Alligator mississippiensis: one gene and its partner. The protein of the gene in region 2 interacts with the protein of the main gene of each other region in a biochemical or structural test. Links are inferred from orthologs where the notes say so. Each region holds a gene or a part of one and is shown on either strand. Other genes may lie near its edges.

What was found.
Region 1: the proteins of RGS4 (region 2) and GNAO1 form a complex in vitro, tested with the Homo sapiens proteins (2 studies listed by BioGRID). The link is inferred for Alligator mississippiensis from reciprocal best matches to the Homo sapiens genes RGS4 and GNAO1.

Annotation. Positions count from the first base shown.
Region 1 is NC_081833.1:42,086,135-42,089,880, reverse strand, and holds the start of GNAO1 (guanine nucleotide-binding protein G(o) subunit alpha), read left to right. Parts: upstream 1-959; 5' UTR 960-1,418; coding exon 1,419-1,536; intron 1,537-1,732; coding exon 1,733-1,775; intron 1,776-3,746. UniProt on the Homo sapiens protein: Guanine nucleotide-binding proteins (G proteins) function as transducers downstream of G protein-coupled receptors (GPCRs) in numerous signaling cascades.
Region 2 is NC_081828.1:40,944,314-40,948,059, forward strand, and holds the start of RGS4 (regulator of G-protein signaling 4), read right to left. Parts: upstream 2,169-3,746; 5' UTR 2,045-2,168; coding exon 2,001-2,044; intron 1-2,000. UniProt on the Homo sapiens protein: Inhibits signal transduction by increasing the GTPase activity of G protein alpha subunits thereby driving them into their inactive GDP-bound form. Activity on G(z)-alpha is inhibited by phosphorylation of the G-protein.

The DNA of each region.
Region 1 (3,746 bases), on a different chromosome or scaffold from region 2:
ACCTGTCTTCATTTCCCAGTGGATTATCCTGGGCCTGTAGTGCTGAAAGAACTTGCAGTTATTATTTAGATTATGACAACACTCAGAGGCCCCACCCAAGGCAGGGACCATACCTTTGCATAACGAAGGAACAGTTCATGGCCCCAGGAAAGGACAATCTAAACAGGCAAAGGATGGAAGAAGAGTGGGATTTCCTGCTTTGAAGATGGGCCGGCTCAGCGTCGCACAAGTTTGTGGCCCAGCTTGGAATCTGACCCAGGCCTCCCGAGTCCCTGAGCCTTGGCTGCAAACCCTGCTTCTTCACAGCAAGGTGGAAGTTAGCAATGGATCCCATCCCCCAGCAACAGAAGAGGCCTGTTAGGGACAAAGACATGGTTAGGTGACCACAACCGGAGAAGAGGCAAGGATTTATTGGGGTGGCAGCTGCAGTTGAACCAACTGCCAACCGCCTAGCTGGGGTAGTGTTCGAGGAGTTAGAGGCTCCCTGCAACTTGCTGTCCCAAATCCCCTTGCCCTGTAGGACCCTTCCTCAGCGCCCCCACCTTCCACTGCCTGCAGCTGGGCATAGGGGGCACAGGGAGACCCGTCTACCCTGGGACTGGACAGGAGGGGCGCAGGGCAGGGCTGGGTTCTCACTGCACCTCGCCTGCAGCAGCGGGATCCACAGATGCTAGGGGCTGAAAGGGACCTCACAAGTTCATCGGGTGCAGCCCCCTCCACTTGGGCAGGAAAGACTGCTGTTGGGAGCTGCAAAAAGGAGCGGGCTGCAGTCCCGGGATCCTGGGCATGAGGGAGACCCCCAGAATCTGCCCCAGCCCGTCCGCGGGGCACGGCCCCCTGCCCCCGCAACCTCGCCCCGCCCCGCCCCGCCCCGCCTGCTCCACCAAGGCGGTGCCGCTGAGGACTGGGCCGGGCGCATGCGCGACAGACGTCAGCGAGGCAGGCGAGCCTGTGCGCGCTGGGGAGCCGTGGCGCACTCCCGCCTCCGCCCCCCGCGCTCTCTCCATTAGGAGCCGCCGGACTATGCGATCGCTCGCAGCCATTGCCGCCGCCGCCGCCGCCCATTAGAGACTCCCAGCCGGCAGCAGCAACAGCAGGACAAGGACCCACCCTCCCCCCACCCGCCTCCTCCTCCTCCCCGGCTCAGCTCCCGCGCAGCCCCCGGTGCCTGCAGCCCCGCACCCGCCCGGCTTCGACTCGGATGCGTTGATCCTGCGGCTAGCCCGGGGAAGGCCGGCGCGGGGGGCTGTGGTCCCGCCGGGGGTCCTCTCCGCGCCTGCGGCTGCACGTTTGCTTATCTCGGGGGGGCGGCCGGCGGTTCCCGATCTCGTGGGGGTGGGTCGTGTCCGCCTCTTTGCCTTCCCCGCCCGCGGAGCGTCTGAGAGGGGAGCAGAGCCCGCCGAGGTTGCTTGGCCACCATGGGATGTACCTTGAGCGCGGAGGAAAGAGCAGCCTTGGAGAGGAGCAAAGCGATCGAGAAGAACCTCAAGGAGGACGGGATCAGCGCTGCCAAGGATGTCAAGCTGCTGCTGCTGGGTAAGCCGGGCCCCCGCCCCGCACCGCGGCCCCGGGCGCCTGCCGGGGAGCGACCCCTCCTCCCTCCCTGCCTCCTCCGGCCTCCCCCCACCTCCACCCCGCATCCATTAGCCCAGCTGCTCCCTTCTTGGTAATCTCCTTGATCTTATTTTCTCCCACTCACCAGCTCTTTTCCTTTCTGTGTCTGTCCCAACAGGGGCTGGAGAATCTGGGAAAAGCACCATTGTGAAGCAGATGAAGTAAGTCCCCCCCCCCACCTCGCCTCTTCGGGGTGGGGGCTTGTTTGACTGATGTAAAGCCTGGATCTGACCCCAGGGGCAAGGAGGGGGTCCGTGTCCCGTCGTCCCCCTCACCCCCCCCCCCCGCCTTTTTTTTTTTTTTTTTTTTTTTGCGGGCGCCAGGCGCGGGCGGGGAGGGATGCTCGGCGGTATGAATGGCTGTGGCCGCCATGTTTCTCGGGGAAGTGTGAGGGCTGCTTCGGGGCGGCGGATGCCCCGGGCCTGGCACGGCTGGAGCGTGGCTTTCCGGCTGTGCAGGGAAGGCTTCGGGCCGAGCCGGCCGGCGGGCGTCCGCTGTTCACGGCTTTGGTGCTGAACTGGAGCTCGTGCGGTTTCTTTGCCTCACCGGGAGGGCAAAGGGGGGAGGTGGGTTTCCAAGATGATGTAAATGGCACAGATGTAACCAGGGCAGTGCCATTAAACGTACCGCTGTCAATTAAACTTAATGTCAGGTTTTTATCTTCCGGCACTCCTCCCCCACGCCCCCAACACACACACACACACACACACACACACACACACACACGTGTTTGATCTCCTGACATGGGCTCCGGGGTTGGCTCTCTAGCAATTTTTTTTTTTTAAATCTGTCTGTAATGCGGATTTAAAGCGCAGCTCGCTGCCACTCAAAGCCCCTTTTACCCAAGATTTGAGCCTTTCTTCTTAATTAATTCGAGATGAATTTGGCCGTGGGTCACCAATTAAAATTAAACCGGGATATTAAAACAAAAACAAACAAAAACCCACCGAGGAAACCAGCTCCTTCCTAGGCCACCTCGGGAGCCTGCTCTTGCTTCCCCTTCCTCCCATCCACCATTTCTGGTGTGATGCGAGCTATGTGTTTGAAATCTCCAGGCTGCAACGGTGCAAGTGAGGAGCGATGGAGCCGGCTGGTGTGGGACTGCACAGGGGTTGTGCCGTGCCCCTTTGCACACGCACACCCACACTCACGCTTGCTAATTAGGCGCTGCTGTACAATAAACAACAAATATATATTCCTGCTCAGCTCCAGCCTGGCTGGCTGCACTCATTGCATCCCCTAGGAAAGCAGATGGGGGGAGGGCAGGGGCTAGGGAAGTGGGCGGCTCTGGGGGGTGTCATTTCACCAAACCTTGTGTGTGCCCGGGGGGGGGGGGGTGGATCCCAGCCTTGCACTGGAGCAGACACGACCAGCCTCTTCCTGGCGGCGCCATGGCGGAGCGGTCCCCAGGGTGGCAGGGCGATGGCCTCCCCGTGCCTTTATTTTTCTCCGGGAAAGAAGAGAGAGAGAGAGAGTGTGTTTTCCAGGGGTGATGTTGAAAAGAGATCCCGGCCCGGAACTGGGTGTGGAGGGCGGGGAGCTGCAGCACTGCCCTCGCAGGGCCCTCGGGAGCAGATCCCCTCTGCAGAGAGGAAGGGCTGTGAGCATCCATCCCCGGAGCGGGGATTGAGATGCTGGCCGGGCTGGGGAGGCGGCTGCCGGGCCCTGTGCCGCGGAAGGGAGGAGATTTCAGGAGGTTCAGGTGGTGGACAGCGCCCAGCCCAGCCTGGGGCTGCGATCGGGGCTGGGAGATCAGGAGCGCTCGGCTGCGCTCGGGGGCTGCCGGCTGCCCGCTCGGCTACGTTCGGAGACGCTTCGGGAGCTGTCGGTAAAGACCGAGCAGCCTCGGAAATAGCCGAATGAGCTCGGAAGCGCTCGGCAATCTGGGGCTCTCCACTAGCATCAGTCAATGGAGCTGTTTAGGGAGGGCTTGATCCCCCTGCCCCTGCTGAAGGGAGGGGAAATTCCCCATTAATTTCCTCTAGGAACAGGCCGTGACCCTTCACTTCATCTCTTCCCCTCCAGCCCCAGTGTCTGTTAAAAAAAGGTGTCACGTCAAGTGAGTGAGTGGAATATATATATATATTTTAACAGAGGAAAAAAAAAAGTCCCAAAGGGCTGTGCCAAATCTC
Region 2 (3,746 bases):
TGTTCTCTGCCCTACTATGTCTTATATACCCAGCTAGGGCCATGATCCAGTCAACAGTCAGTGTGCTAAGCTGCACTGCAGAGAACACCTCCTAAAGGTGCCAAGTTCCAGATGCAACATTGCATATCAATTATTTAATGAGCCAATATGCATATATGCCAATTATTGCATATTGACATATGCCTCTGTTTAAAAGCTGTGCAGACTTCGTGCTGGCATAGCGACAGCAAGATAAAAGAAAAGAAAAAAGTTGCATATCTTTACACTCAGTCTCCTGTAATCAGAGTTAAGGTTGTTTGCCTAGCATCAGAGTTATGCTGTGCCTAGCATGTGTGGATTTCTTTAAATCATCGAAGCCAGAGAGAAGAAGGTGGCAAATTGTCAGGGCTTGCTTGGCCCAGAGGTACGGTTGGGTGGGCAGAGAGGCCAGATTTGCTCTGGAAGAACTTGTACAAGAAGATGTAACAAGACATGGGCAGGACCTAGCAGTGTGAGTCTGAAGAGAAGGCCTTTGGGCACAGCCCCAGAGAGCAGTACAAGTTTGAAACCAGTGGGGTACAAGAGATGTTTAGGTTTAAAGTGAATTTCCTTCTAGAAGCTATTAAAGTTAAAGTGCTTTGTCCTTTCTATAGCTCTGAAAACCATTTATAGATTTCAGTGACAGGGACAGAACTCTGCATTATGTTAAGATGACCCAAGGACAGATTTAGAGAGGCCATCACTCTGGGATGTTCTATAGGACTTCTCCATAAGGATGAGATGAGGCGTCTCTTTCTCCTTGCCATATCCCAGCTTTGTTCAAGCTCTGAGACACACCGTCCAGAAGGATTTGCTTATGGCCAGGGTGGATTGATTGTCACTCTGGAGACAGATTCCTGCATCCTATAGCAGTGAAGAGGACTAAAGAGACATCCCCTTTCTTCCACCTGCAAAATCTGCCTGCTTAGTTGACCCTCTTTTTTTTGTCCCACTCTCAGTCAGAATGAGAAACTGAGGCAACTCACTGCAGAAAAGAATCCAGACTCTCAGACAGTAATGTCCCAAAGTAATTTAGAATCCAGCAAACCTGGCCAAAGCTTTCGAGGAATTAGAGGGAAATGGGGAAGGGAGGGAGTTGATTTCTGAACCATATTTTTGGCTGATTTACAAGGCATTTGTTCTATGCCCTGGAAGTAGGGAGTGATGCATATTGACAGCTACCTGCCCTACCATAAGGCATTACTTCACGCGCACCAAATGGCTAATGTTTAACTAACAGGTTTGGTAAAACAAGCCTGTTAGAATCCTCTCCCCAAGGGAAGGTCTGAAAAACAGAGACAGCCTCTGGCCGCAAAACTGTGAACCTGCTCTTTCATTTCTTTCCATGCCTCCTGTTCCAGGTCACAGCCATCCCCTCATCTTCAGTTTTACATAATACTGCACCTTACTGCATTATGAAGCCCTTGTCCCCCTAGCACCCATCAAAACAACCATCTGGTTTCTGCTTTTGCCAGCTGTTTAATTTTCTTGTTATATGCCTTCCTTTATGATTATAAACCAGACCTATTTTGCTAGATGCATAAAGTAGTTTGACATTTATTTCAGGAATTATGCTACACATCAAACAAATATCATTAAAATACCATGCACATAGATTGTCATTCCTGAATTTCAATATGAAAACAGATCTCTCTTCTGCTATACAGGGTGAGGCTGACACAACCCTGCAGTAACATATAATAAAGGAGAGCAAAAATGCATAAATGCACAGAGGCAATTTATGCTGATGGCTAGAGCTAGTCCAGAATTCACAATAGTTGGCAAAGAACCATGATGCAATCCAATTCTAGCCTAAAAAGAAATCCTTAAACAATCAATTATATATCATCTTGGAGAAAAAACAGATTCAAATTTGATTATTTCTGATTGAAACACTTGTAAAATACCGTTTAGATACAGTCTCGAATACATCAACACGACTATAAACTTAAAAAATAAAAATGCTCAGTAATAGACTCTACCTTTTTAAGCAAGTGGCCGGCAATGCAGCAAGTCCCTTGCACATTTTGCTATTGGAGTTCTTGTCCCAATTCCAGAAAAGAGTACAAGAGGAGGCTGAGGCTGTGTCCGGGTTTTTACCTGCTGCGCTATTTGCTTAGAATTCTCAGTGCTTCTGTTTTCTAAGCCTGCTGGCTCCAGCATGGGTCTGTTTTATAGTCTAGACCAAAGAGTCCAGCATCATTTTTCCAGCCAGTCAGAAATCAGCACAGCAGCAGCAGCCACCCCCTCCTTGCCTACACAACAGGAAAAGAGGAAGAGACTGACGTATGAATCAGGACAAAAAAGATACAATGAAAAAGAAAACCTTACCAGAAATGACAGATCACAGTTGACATGCAGATTTGGAATCTCTGGATAGAGTGGAAAAAAAATATTGTGAGTTTCCTGCCTTGCATAAGATGGGCTGTTTCTTTCAATCTATTAGGGAAAGGGGAAGGGAGGATTGGGAAAAGGTGACCGAGAAAAGGGAGAGTAAATTTGTGAGTTACTTAATTTCATTTTCCCCTTACATTTAAGATAAATCTAAACAGTGGGCAACATCTTTGAGTTAGATGACTGAATAAATGTCTTCTGTCCCCAGAGAATCAGCATAGACAGTAACTTGCAAAAATTAGAGGCCCAGGGGAAATAAAGAAATACATTACATAGGCCACGGCTACATAGGTGGCAGTGCGCAGTAACCAGCATTACTATGCAATACCGTCCCTGCACTTTTAAACTTTTTTTTTTACACTATGGTGCAGTAGCAATGAGCTTGTTACTACTTTGCCATACCATTGCCATCATGGTTCATGCCTGGCAACACTATGGTGCAGTGGTAACGAGCTACTGTGCCATAGCTCGTTGCTACTGTGCCATAGCATCTCATGTAGACACCCCCATAGAGCAGTGGGAGCCAACCTTTTTGGCAGGCATGCCAAAAATTAGACCCTCATTGTTCCTGAGGCATTGGACTGGTGCTTTCCTTTACCTGATCTGCTGCTCTGCTTTCTGCTCCCTGCCCAGTGCTCCCTGAACAAGCTGCTGTTTGCTTCCCACTCTATCTGCCACTGTGCTGCCTGTTCCCTGCCTGCCAGCCTTCACATATCACACACACAGGCTGTTCGTATCACTTGTAGCACTCATACCACAAGTTGGCCACCCCTGCCCTAGAGAATATGAGGTGTTTCTTGAGTAAAATGGGATGAGAGTCTATGGGAAGACTGAAAAAACAAACCCCACGTGCCATGCCAGTACTGAGTACAGACCTTGCAAGGAAATGCTGCATCCATGAAGGTATATTCAAATGTATGTGCTCACACCTGAAAGCAAAAATGTTTGTGTATATTTATGCAAGAAAGGGAAGATAACGTCATGGCTACTGTTTCAAGTATGTGCAGGATTGAAATAATTCTTCATTTTCATGTTGAGTAGGCAGTATTCATAAATCACTGACAGGGTAACAAAGAAGCCAAGGCTATCTAAGGAAGGAAGCCTGTCTAAGCCCTTTTCTTTTAATACGAACAAAGGCATGAGATGAGATAGAGAAATATAATCATTAAAAAAATAATACTGAGCTCACATTAAGTGGTTTTGGGGGCAAAAATGGACTTGATCTGGACCAGTAGGTGAATCCTAGGATGGTATTATAGGACTGCAATGATTTAATTCAACAGGGGCCCATGAAAGAAATAAGTTTGAAGGAAATAGAATTTCTTAACACCAGT